Saccharomyces cerevisiae S288C: one gene and its partners. Changing the gene in region 2 together with the main gene of any one other region gives a genetic interaction. Each region holds a gene or a part of one and is shown on either strand. Other genes may lie near its edges.

Region 1 (5,124 bases), on a different chromosome or scaffold from region 2:
ACCTATCTCATTGAGCCTCTTAAAGATATCGCAAACAGAAGTTGATTATTTATACAGGGAAAAGTTCCATTTTTTGAGACTCGAACCTAAACGTTGGGTTTTTCATTATTTTAATCTGGCAATAACCGTTGCGGTACTAACCATTTTTACCCGTTGTTGTTACCGTTTGGCTGAATTAGTTGTCGGTTGGGATGGCTATCTGATCACACACGAGTGGTATTTTATTATCTTAGATGCATTAATGATGGCCATCGCTACGGTCACTTTGACCATCTTCCACCCTGGATTTGCGTTTAAAGGTAGAAGCACCTCGATTCCAATCACACCGGGCCATGTTGATCCTGAAACTTTACCACATACTGACGATGTTGAAGATATCTTAGATACTTCGGATTCAAAACAATTTGATATTGAAAAGGAGGAATTCCAAGCAAGCATGAAATACCCGATTAGCACCTTCAAACAATTCATGTCCAAAATAGCTAACTTGTTTTCCTCTAAAAAGAAGGCTAAACTTTAGTGATACGTAGAATTTGAATGTCAATCTGATCGTTCATATGCATTTTTCAATTCTTACTTTTTTTCTCGAAGTTCCCGACTATGTTCTGTTTATTTTTTCTCCTATTCAAAAGAACCGGACAGCATTTTTACTTCCTTATATTTCGACATCGTAATATGTACATTTTTTAGTTCACAAGTATTTTTCCCCTTTCAATGCTTTAATCAGCCTTCAACGTCATACATACTTTCTATTTTGTTCCTGTGCCATCGTATAACTTTCCTCGTTTAGTGTTTTCGCCTCAGCTTAATGTAGATCACTGTTTTGACGTTCTTCCATTTTTGGGAACGAACTAAACTAAAAAAAAGAAAACTACAGAGTTTCCCATAGAGAACAGAAAATCCGCTATCGGCAGCTTATAGGGTCATATAATTATGGCGCACATAAGGAAAATAAATTTATTTGAATCAATCAACAGACCTATCTGTTGATATATGAAAGAGAGCAGGAGCGTTAGTTTACCTCCATAAACAGTAAAATTAAAGCAAAAAAGCGTAACTGCTGATTGAAGCCTATATCACCGGGCTAAAATCTTATATCGGTTAAGAAAGTGATTAATTTATAGATATGTTCACGAAATCTTTTCTATTCAAAGATTCACGAATTTTACTCGATTTTTATAGTATACTGAAACAAGTAGTTGTAAAATCAATTCACCAAAAAAGCTTTCCCCATCTCTGATGAAAAACTACGAAAAGTTTACTATCACATAATATCGGAAGTACGTTTTTAAGGCACTGCAATGTATTTTATAATCTTGAACATTTGGAGGTATATTACCTTACTTTCTCATCAGGTTGTATATTTGAGCGTCTCGGGAATGATAAGTCGGGTAACGAGAGTATCTAGATAAGATTTTCAGCTATGGCAATAAAAAACCAAACCTCATCGATGAACCTATTACAACATAAAGACATCCCGTAATAATTAGTGAGACAGGTTCTTCAAGGAAGTGCTACAGCCAAGTTTCGTAATATAATGGGTGTTCCGTCATTTTTCAGATGGCTATCTCGAAAATATCCAAAGATCATATCCCCAGTATTGGAAGAGCAACCTCAGATAGTCGACGGTGTCATATTGCCGTTGGATTATTCCGCCTCAAATCCAAACGGTGAGTTAGACAACTTGTATTTGGATATGAATGGTATTGTTCATCCATGTTCGCACCCAGAAAACAAACCGCCTCCAGAGACTGAAGATGAAATGCTTTTGGCAGTTTTTGAATATACCAATCGTGTGTTAAATATGGCTAGACCACGCAAGGTACTTGTTATGGCTGTTGATGGTGTTGCTCCTCGTGCCAAAATGAACCAGCAGAGAGCGCGTAGATTTAGGAGTGCTAGGGATGCTCAGATTGAAAACGAAGCCAGGGAAGAAATTATGAGACAGCGAGAAGAAGTTGGTGAGATAATCGATGATGCCGTCAGGAACAAGAAAACTTGGGATTCAAATGCGATCACTCCAGGCACCCCATTTATGGATAAGCTTGCCGCGGCCCTCCGTTATTGGACAGCATTTAAACTGGCCACTGACCCTGGTTGGAAAAACCTGCAGGTGATTATCAGTGACGCCACCGTCCCAGGTGAAGGTGAGCACAAAATAATGAATTTCATTAGGTCTCAAAGAGCTGATCCTGAATATAATCCCAACACAACGCACTGTATATACGGTTTGGATGCTGATTTAATTTTTTTGGGCCTTGCCACTCATGAACCACATTTTAAAATTCTAAGAGAAGATGTTTTTGCTCAAGACAATCGGAAAAGAAATAACTTAAAAGATACTATAAATATGACTGAAGAAGAAAAACAATTTCTCCAAAAACAAAATTCCGAACAACCTTTCTTGTGGCTGCACATAAATGTTTTGAGGGAATACTTGTCCGCTGAGTTATGGGTTCCGGGTCTTCCATTTACATTTGATTTAGAAAGGGCTATCGACGATTGGGTTTTCATGTGCTTTTTCTGTGGTAATGACTTTTTACCACATTTACCATGCTTAGATGTCAGAGAAAATAGTATTGATATTCTCTTGGATATTTGGAAGGTAGTACTACCGAAATTGAAAACGTACATGACCTGCGACGGTGTCTTGAACCTCCCTTCTGTTGAAACGCTATTGCAACACCTTGGCTCCCGTGAGGGGGATATCTTCAAAACTAGACATATTCAAGAAGCCAGAAAGAAAGAAGCTTTTGAAAGAAGGAAAGCGCAGAAAAATATGTCAAAAGGTCAAGACAGGCATCCTACAGTAGCTACGGAGCAACTGCAAATGTATGACACACAAGGAAATTTAGCAAAAGGTTCATGGAACTTGACCACCAGTGATATGGTAAGGTTGAAAAAGGAACTGATGCTTGCGAACGAGGGGAACGAAGAAGCAATCGCCAAAGTTAAGCAACAGAGTGATAAGAACAATGAACTGATGAAAGATATCAGCAAGGAAGAAATTGATGATGCTGTTAGTAAGGCTAACAAAACTAATTTTAACCTTGCAGAAGTTATGAAACAGAAAATAATAAATAAGAAACACCGTCTTGAAAAGGATAATGAAGAGGAAGAAATTGCTAAGGATAGCAAAAAAGTTAAGACAGAGAAAGCGGAATCAGAGTGCGATCTCGATGCAGAGATCAAAGATGAGATTGTGGCTGACGTAAACGACAGGGAAAACTCTGAAACTACAGAAGTATCAAGAGATTCACCAGTCCACAGCACAGTGAATGTCAGCGAAGGTCCCAAAAATGGGGTCTTTGATACAGATGAATTTGTCAAACTATTCGAACCTGGTTACCACGAAAGATATTACACAGCTAAATTTCACGTTACTCCTCAAGATATTGAACAGTTAAGAAAAGATATGGTAAAATGCTATATCGAAGGGGTCGCCTGGGTACTAATGTATTACTATCAAGGTTGTGCCTCTTGGAATTGGTTCTATCCGTACCATTATGCTCCTCTGGCAACAGATTTCCATGGGTTTTCTCACTTGGAGATAAAGTTCGAAGAAGGTACTCCATTTTTACCTTACGAACAATTGATGAGTGTTTTACCAGCTGCATCTGGCCATGCTTTGCCAAAAATTTTCCGGTCTTTGATGTCTGAACCTGACTCTGAAATCATTGATTTTTATCCTGAAGAATTTCCCATAGATATGAATGGTAAGAAGATGTCCTGGCAAGGCATAGCGTTGCTACCATTCATCGATCAGGATAGACTGTTAACAGCTGTTCGTGCACAATATCCTTTACTTTCTGATGCTGAGAGGGCAAGAAATATTCGCGGAGAACCTGTTTTATTAATAAGTAACAAGAATGCTAATTATGAGAGGTTTTCGAAGAAATTATACTCAAAGGAAAACAACAACAACAATGTTGTTGTGAAGTTTCAACACTTCAAGAGTGGTTTAAGTGGTATTGTATCAAAGGACGTTGAAGGTTTCGAATTAAATGGGAAAATTGTATGTCCGATTCAAGGTGGGTCACTGCCAAATTTATCTACCACCTTGATTTTAAAGATGTCCTATAGATTAATTCCGTTGCCATCGAGAAATAAGTCTATTATACTGAACGGGTTCATTCCGTCAGAACCGGTACTAACAGCATATGACCTTGATTCCATAATGTACAAGTATAATAACCAAAATTACTCCCGTCGCTGGAACTTTGGTAATGATTTGAAGCAAAATATTGTTCCAGTAGGACCAAAGGGTATTACTCAGTACAAACCAAGAACTGGTGGCTATCGAGCATTCTTTTATTTTGCTGAGCTCAGTAGAAATAATGTCCAACCCGCCCACAACTATGGTAGGAATAGCTACAACAGTCAACCCGGCTTCAACAATAGCAGGTATGATGGTGGAAACAATAATTACAGACAAAATTCAAATTACAGGAACAATAACTATTCCGGAAATAGAAATAGTGGACAGTACAGCGGCAACAGCTACTCTCGGAATAACAAGCAAAGTCGGTATGACAATTCAAGAGCAAATAGGCGTTAGAACTACTCGTGCGCATTTTATTTTATGGTAAATTTAGGTTTTCGCAAATTTATAAAATCTTCATACAATTAAAAAAAAGCTCTTTTAAGATAATAGTGTCTGCTCTTACAAACGACGAACAGTAATATTTTATAACAAAAAATGGAACATATTAAGTTAAGAGAAAATCATGCTGAAGCATGAATATATGAATATACGTCCTCTTGTAAAATAGCGAAATCCTTGTAAGCCAATAGACCGAACTCTATTTTGATTTATACGCTTCGTGTATTTTTTCTTCCAGATCCAGGAGAAAAAGCATGGTCTGTTCTTCTTTTTTGAAAAGAGAGGCAGTCCACGGCGAAAGTTTCGAATACGGCACTACCTTTTTTTTCTAAGTTCCTAAACTTAAAATCAAATTTGGTCTTTGGTCTGTTATCATCCAGGGATGAATGCAACATATTGGGAAGTTCATGCTATACAACGCCAACCCCTTCGCTCAAGTCACGAAAGCACATCTTACACTTCCTCCTTGGCCAATATGCAAGCGTCCTCTTCAAAAAATCTTGCAACAAACAATCGGGTAA
Region 2 (5,223 bases):
AAATTGATAATAACGTTGTCGACGACAGTTCTTTGCTTGTAGTGGCAAGTGAAGACTACTATCCAAGATTAATTGACCTGAGAACCATGAATTCAGGGGTAACTGCGCTTGGAATGGGAAATCAAACACGAATGCAATCAGAAATTTTATGCTGCAAATTTAACCCCGTCAGGGAACAGATTATTGCTTGTGGTGACATGGAGGGTGGGGTAAAATTATGGGATCTAAGAATGAGGAACAGACTGTATTCAGAATTGAAAAGAAATAAAAATAGGTTCAAGACTATAAATAACGATGATAATGACGATCAAAGCGATGTCTATTTCAGCTCTAACCAATCAAAAGCCCATCTGAGATGTTGCAGTGACATTGTTTGGAATAGTGAGGGTTCAGAGCTATGTTCAGTCGGCATGGATGGAAAACTGAATGTTTGGAGGCCATTTACGGAAATTCTGCAACCAGAAGGTCTAGCTAGTTATTCCCAGTTGGGAACACAAGACCTGAGCCGTATCAAATACAAAAAAAGAGTATCTCGAAGGTTGCTTTGGTTTGACAAGTTTTTACTGTGTATTACTGACAATGGTGAAGTAGAAATATACAATACGGAGGAAAAAAAACTTTGGAACAAGCTCGAATACCCAATGGTTAATCAGGTAAAAAAAAATCAGGCTTCGCATTGTCAGTTTAGTTCCATGATTGTGCAAACAAATATAATGAATTCAGTTGGCCTCAAATTGTTCTTTGGAACTAACAACAACACCGTTAGCGACGGCGGATCCATCTTTGAATGTTCATAAGTAATAAATGCCGTATAGAATATGATAATAGTCTTCGCGGCTCTTATAATTGAACCAATGTAGGTTTGTATTACCCGGAAACGTATATCGCTACACACGAATATACAACTAATAGCTATATACAAATGCTTTCATCTCAGACTTGGCAGGTATATTTTACCAAGCCGCTTCACCTCTTATCCTCCACTTCATGCATACTTTTCAATAGAGAGCATTTCTTACCACCTCACCTTAGTTTCAGCTGTAGCCTCTTTTCTGACATAATATTGGTAAGTCGGGTTAACCAATTCCGGGCCGAAAGCTTTTTTTATTCACTCTATTTTTGTTTGCATTTAAACTCACAGTGGATATTGAAGGAAGGAATCAGCCCTGAGATTGTGTGACAAGCCTTTTGCAAGACAGAACAGGAGAACAAGAAGCCATAAAAGAAGAATAGACAAATATAAATACTTTTGTTTGAATACCCCTATCAGGTCTTTTAAGGAATAAAAAAGGAGAAAACAGGAGAATATACCATATAGGAGACGCGATTTCAAACGAAAGCTTGAGAAAGGGTTATCGCTGAAATTTAAATAGAAAGAGAAAATATCACAACTAGAGTTAGTATTCTTTTTATCGTTCATCAGCTCTATCAAGATATAATATTTGCTCATCTTTATCTCTCTTATTTTTTTAACACCACCTCCTGAAAGAGAACTAATTGGTATACTAGTTTTACGAGGGCTAGCTTTTGGCTGTTATACGTATAACCACACACCTGGTGTTCTGTACGAACGTTGAAAAGTCAAAGCAAGGGGGAAAAGATAATATCCTTGAAGATTATAAATCCTAAAGCAAGCATATTGACGAAGACGAGATAAGAAAAATCCAAAAATGTCAACAAATCTAGCAAATTACTTCGCCGGTAAGAAAGATATTGAAAACGAGCATGTAAATAGAAATGCGAGCCATGAAAGTAATAGCAAAAGTGATGTCAAAATTAGTGGTAACGATAACGACAACGACGAAGATATGGGGCCTTCAGTATCGATGGCTGTTCAAGCGAAAAATGATGATGATTTCCATAAATCAACTTTCAACCTTAAAAGAACAAGATCAATGGGCCTTCTTGATGAATATATTGACCCTACCAAGAAATTGCTAGGAAGGTCAGACGACTTATATGATAACGACAATGAATATTATGACAACTCATCTAATAATTCTTCAAGCAATTCTTCAGATGATGATTATGATGACGGCTATCAGGAACACTCAACCTCCGTTTCTCCACCGCCGGCGGATAATGATAGCTACTTAATTCCACAAGATGATAATGACGTAGTGGTAGAGCCAGAAAGACATGTTGACTATCTGTCACATGAATGGAAAGAATCAGAAATTTCTAATTCTTGGAAATATATCATCCTAAAGAAAAAGAAAAGAGATGTTGATCTAGTAAATGCTGCTAGGTTAGAAAATGCCTCATGGAGAACATGGGCAAAAGCAAGAAACAACTTGAAAACAGTGTCACCTGAAGTGGTTAATTGGTCAAAAGATTCTGATGTGACTTGGCTATATGGCCCTATTGTAAGAGATTCTGAAGGTAATGCCCAAAGTGAAGAAGAACATGATCTAGAAAGAGGATATGGTTCGGATGATGAAAATTCCAAGAGAATTTCAATGCCCACTAAAAATTCAAAGTCGATCGCAGCTGCTCCGAAACCAATTTTGAAGAAGAGAACCGTCACAGAAATTATAGAGGACAACGCTTTATGGAAACTGAATGAGGCAAGAAAACACATGACAGAAATGAAACATGCTTCGGTAATAATGGATCCCAATGGCAACAAAAACGTCCATGACGATTTCGATGCTCTGGCCGCTCAAGTTAACGCCCAGTACTACCATTATCCCAAAGAATCGAACAGTAGCGTTAGTTTGAAGAGTCAACACTCTGACAAAAAAGATAATTCTACCATACCGAATCCTGTAGGAGAAAATTCAAATGGTGGCGGTGACAAGGGAGAAGAAGACCTGCATTTAAAGTCAGCGCTTCATGTTCAAAACAATAGGTCAACGGCACAATCAAACAAAAGCATACTAGAAAATAGTACCAATGATCGTAAGGCTAACTTGGATCAAAACCTAAATTCTCCTGATAATAATAGGTTCCCCTCCTCAACATCTTCCTCCAATAGAGATAATGAAAACAATTCCATGGGATTATCATCAATATTAACCTCAAACCCAAGTGAAAAATCTAACAAACCTACTAAAAATAGACATATACATTTTAATGACAGGGTGGAACAATGTATGGCACTACGATATCCAGCTTCACAATCGGAGGATGATGAAAGCGATGATGAAAATAAACAATATGTTGATGTTAATAACAATGCGAACGTTACAACAATAAACAACAATAGGACTCCATTGCTAGCCATTCAGCATAAATCTATTCCTATCAACTCCGCAACTGAACATTTGAACAAAAATACTAGCGACGATGATACATCCTCACAATCATCATCTTCATCACATTCTGATGATGAAGAACACGGCGGCCTTTACATAAATGCAAGATTTTCCAGGAGGTCTGACTCTGGAGTTCATTCACCAATAACAGATAATTCCTCTGTGGCTTCATCTACTACTTCCAGAGCTCATGTACGTCCCATAATAAAGTTGCTTCCTGATACCACTTTGAATTATGGATCAGACGAAGAATCTGATAATGGCGAATTTAATGGGTATGGTAATGCTGTGTCACATAACGTCAATACCTCCAGAGGCTATGATTACATATACGATTATAACTCGGTCTACACTGGTGATACTTCCAGTTTTTTACCAGTAGATTCATGTGACATTGTAGATGTTCCTGAAGGAATGGACTTACAAACAGCCATTGCAGATGATAATGCATCAAACTATGAATTTAACAATGCGGTAGAATCCAAGGAAAAACATGTTCCACAACTACACAAAGCTTCAGCAAATAATACAACACGTCAACATGGATCGCATATGTTATTATATGACGACGACAATTACAGCTCTTCATCAGATAGCGAACAGCAATTTATTGAAGACTCACAATACAATAGTAGCGACGACGAAGAGGAAGAAGATGACGATGACCAAGAAGTAGACGATAACCACGATGAAGGACTTTCACTGAGGAGAACATTGTCACTTGGGAAATCAGGATCTACCAATTCTTTGTACGATCTAGCACAACCATCACTCTCTTCGGCAACTCCTCAACAAAAAAATCCTACTAATTTTACAGGGGGTAAAACTGATGTAGACAAAGATGCACAACTGGCTGTCAGGCCGTATCCGTTGAAGCGCAATTCCTCTTCAGGGAACTTCATATTCAATTCAGATAGTGAAGAAGAGAGTAGCAGCGAGGAGGAACAAAGACCATTACCCGCTAACAGTCAGCTGGTTAATCGAAGCGTATTGAAAGGCAGTGTGACACCAGCAAACATATCATCTCAGAAGAAAAAAGCCCTTCCAAAGCAGCCAAAAGCGTCCGATAGTTCACAAAGCTTTAGAATTGTAAATAATACTCCTTCACCAGCCGAAGTGGGGGCGAGTGATGTTGCCATAGAGGGTTATTTCTCTCCTAGAAATGAATCTATCAAGTCTGTTGTTTCCGGGGGAAATATGATGGACCATCAAGATCACTCAGAAATGGACACTTTGGCAAAAGGATTTGAAAACTGCCATATAAATAATGCTAGTAAGCTAAAGGACAAGAAAGTTGATAGCGTGCAAACCACTAGAAAAGAAGCGTCTTTGACGGATTCGAGTAATGAAAGCTTACACAAAGTGGTGCAGAATGCAAGAGGTATGGCAAGCAAGTACTTGCACTCTTGGAAAAAGAGTGACGTCAAGCCACAAGAAAATGGAAATGACAGCAGTTAGAAGAAAGAATTTTGAAGTCAACATGAAGAGAAAATAAAAATCCAGGTAGTGTGGATCAGTGCCGTCTTTAGGATCCAAGTAAGCTGTAATCGACTGGCATTGTCAAGGACAAATGTAGACAGCGAAGCAGTTATTTTACGTACACAATTAAATTCGCTCCAGATTTCAAAACTTCTTTATACCTTTACAATATTTGGTACTTATGTACAAGAACTTCTTGAGCTTCCATAGTCGTATGTGTGTTCTATATATTAGCAATTAAACGCAGCTGATCTAAGATATGTTCGTGGGTAATGATTTTCAGATAGAGTACAATCAATGTTTTCTTCGATCTTTAAAGGGTTTTTCCTTTATAAAGAAGACACCACACAACAGTCTAGAAAGTAAACAAAACAAACTACGACACGGCTTGTTTTAGGCACAACTTTGTTTTAGGCAGAGCTTACAGTAATTGGCAGTATTGATATCCTAAAGCAGTATTAAAACAATTTAAAGGTTTGGTGAGGTA
Region 3 (3,093 bases), 150 kb from region 2:
TTGTGGTTATTTGACTTTGTTTATTGTCCTCTCTTGTAAGACATACATATTAATGGTCATAGTTTTCCACTCGAAGTATTTTTCCGTTGCGGATTTACGCTACTATACCCCCGCCCCCCTACACCCAGGGAGCGCTGTTTCATCAAATGAGAAAAGATGCCTTCACCTTCAATAGGTAAGGTAGATCAAGATTCAAAGGAAAACAGAAGAAAGAGGTGCGTATACAATGGAAGGAACTTATTTTAAAACATACGAAAATTACTACTCAATTACTCTCGCAAATTGTCTCAACTCTGAACGATAGCCAAAATATAAGAATACACGAAGAAAACAGTGATAGAAGTAATAGTAACAGAAAAACTATTTTATGTTATATATTAAGAAACTATTTTTTTAGAGGTTTGTATATTTTGTAGTTGGTAAAATTGAAAATTTTGTGAATTTGTATTAGACGAAGATATTATCTCTTCCCCTAAAAAAAGTATCAAAATCGAATTGCATTCATTTTCGTTAGCAAGAAAACTGGAGTGGTAAATCTTCATTTCCCCTTGTATTTCTCAGCGCTCTTATTTGGTTGGTTCACCTTGAGTTTGTTCAGCTGGAGCTTGTTGTTGCTGTTGTTGCTGTTGCTGTTGCTGTTGTTGTTGTTGTTGTTGATCTTCTTGACCAGATTCAGAAATATCAGAGGTCCATAAGGTCAAGTTGTCCCTTAATAATTGCATGATCAAAGTGCTATCCTTGTATGATTCTTCAGATAAAGTATCTAACTCAGCAATAGCATCATCAAAGGCTTGTTTGGCCAAGTGGCAAGCCTTATCAGGAGAGTTTTGAATTTCGTAATAGAAGACGGAGAAATTCAAAGCTAGACCTAAACGAATTGGGTGAGTTGGAGGCAATTCAGTTGTGGCGATTTCGGAAGCGGTTTTATAAGCCTCCAAAGAGGAGTTGGTTGCCTTTTCTCTTGCATCTCCGCTGGAAAATTCAGCTAAATAACGGTGGTAGTCACCCTTCATCTTATAGTAAAATACTTTAGACTCACCAGTAGTAGCAGAAGGGATTAAATGAGAATCTAACACAGATAAAATGTCGTCAGAGATTTTGGTCAATTCAGTTTCAATTTTAGAACGGTAAGAACGGATTAATTCAACTTGATGTTCAGATTTCTCCTTTGATTCTTCTTTTTGTTCGATCGAAGAAACTATTCTCCATGAAGCACGGCGAGCACCGATGACGTTCTTGTAAGCAACCGACAATAGATTCCGTTCTTCGACAGATAACTCTTGACCTGATGAAGCAACGGCCTTCATGTTTTCGACCATTTCTTCATAACGTTCGGCTTGTTCAGCTAATTTAGCTAGGTAAACAGAATCTTCACGAGTTTGGGACATTTTTTTTGTTGTAACGGGTACTTTTTGTTGATTTGATAATTTTTCTTTTTACTTCGTTTTGAAATTGTCAGAGTATTAACCTTCTGTCCAAGTTTTCTCGTTCTTTGCTTTTCCCCCTTAATCAATCGAAAAAAATAATGATTAAAAACCGGGAGAGGCAATTTTTTTTGAAAAAATAAGTTAGTAATTGAAATTTGATAAAAAGAACGAATGTTTAAGATAGCTCAAAAGATTTCGTAACCTTTGATGATGAATATTTGAAAAAAAAAAGACTACTGGAGGGACTTATAATAACATTTGCCCCTTTCGACCGACTTTTTCCTCGTATTTCGTGTGTGTCATTTTGCTGATCCGGGTGACACACTACTAATCATTTCGAGCAGACGACCGATTTGTCCGTTCTTCCTAAACAAAAAAGGGACGATTTCAATAGTATTCGCTGTATTATTATCTCTGGTCATATGAATACCCACGCTTGAATTACGGATTGGTCGTAACAAAAATAAGTGTTACCTCGCTGTTCTGACAGAGATAACTAAACATTTCAGAATGCAACATCACACGGGTGGACCTATGTTCTAGTTCTTGTATTAGAAGAAAGCAATCCGCTGTGCTTAAACCAATATAAGATATATATAAAAAAAAGAAAGTGGGAAAAACAAAGGAAGAGAAACTATAACACTTCACTTTCAAGGCCTGTTAAGTTGATATAATTAACATTTTCAGGAGAGTAACATTCATGTCGGTAATAATTCAAATCAGAGAAGATGAAGGTGGTTGTGGAAGGAGCTATTAATGAAACAAGTTATTGAGAGGTAAAACATACGGTTCGATTCAAATATGAATTCTTAAATTTGAAGGTGGTGTGGAAAAGAATGCAATTGATCGCGCTAATTTCAAAAGATAATATTAAGTAGAAATGAGGGAAGAAGCTGAAGCGAAAGATATATAAGTCATCAATATATATAAACAGGGACTTTGTTTATGAGCTCATGTTATAAATACAGATAAGACAGAATTGAGAAAGAGGAGAAAGAGCGATCTATGCGATTCGCCCCCGAATCTTCTCGTCACGGAAGACCGTGCATTTTCTACGGCAGCGGCTATGGTGTAATTGTCATTAACAACGGAGAGTGTTTGAGCGGCTAATTTTCGGTATTCCAAGAGACAAATTTGATTTGTACGAGGTATATGAACGATGCTCACTATATGTTGGAACTTTTGAAACATCTTTGTCTATTTCTCACAGAAATTGATGCTGTGTTACTTCGTTTCATGATTTTTCGGAAAGATACTGTGTAAGGTTATCATATATGAAGCGATACGTGCTGACCATAAAGCAGTACTTCAATAAAACGTTTTCCGAAAAAATGTAGTGTTGGAATGAAATCTTAGTGTCATTTTTTGACTAGTGTTCATGCTAATAATATTTTTTTAATGCAGTCTTTCAGTCTTCTGTTATGTAGTTTTTGTCATGATTAGAACAATTTATTCCTCGAAGACCTTATTCTTCTCATTGATGTTGCCATACACTATGTGTGCCATCTGGAGATTTTTATTAGCTCGTTATGTGAATGACTATTTACTTTACAGAACGATAATGGCGCGCTCATTGTATTAAGACTCCTATAACCTATAGAGTACTATTTTATATTATTGCTATATTATCAAATGAGGTATAAGAAGATTATACAACAATTGAAAA

The links.
Region 1: of REG1 (region 2) and RAT1, a mutation in one rescues a mutant of the other (synthetic rescue), as found in Saccharomyces cerevisiae (one study listed by BioGRID).
Region 3: mutations in REG1 (region 2) and BMH2 are lethal when combined (synthetic lethality), as found in Saccharomyces cerevisiae (one study listed by BioGRID).

What each region holds. Positions count from the first base shown.
Region 1 is NC_001147.6:418,064-423,187, reverse strand, and holds RAT1 (ssRNA exonuclease RAT1), read left to right. Parts: upstream 1-1,537; coding exon 1,538-4,558; downstream 4,559-5,124. Other genes in the region: phospholipid-translocating ATPase RSB1, read left to right, coding at 1-520. UniProt on the Saccharomyces cerevisiae protein: Possesses 5'->3' exoribonuclease activity. Required for the processing of nuclear mRNA, rRNA and small nucleolar RNA (snoRNA) precursors.
Region 2 is NC_001136.10:497,327-502,549, reverse strand, and holds REG1 (protein phosphatase regulator REG1), read left to right. Parts: upstream 1-1,670; coding exon 1,671-4,715; downstream 4,716-5,223. Other genes in the region: RAD28 (Rad28p), read left to right, coding at 1-797; YDR029W (uncharacterized protein), read right to left, coding at 1,136-1,450. UniProt on the Saccharomyces cerevisiae protein: Involved in RNA processing and negative regulation of glucose repression. Regulates the level of two antigens, P43 and P70. Binds to protein phosphatase type 1. Functions with REG2 and SNF1 protein kinase to regulate growth.
Region 3 is NC_001136.10:651,902-654,994, reverse strand, and holds BMH2 (14-3-3 family protein BMH2), read right to left. Parts: upstream 1,389-3,093; coding exon 567-1,388; downstream 1-566.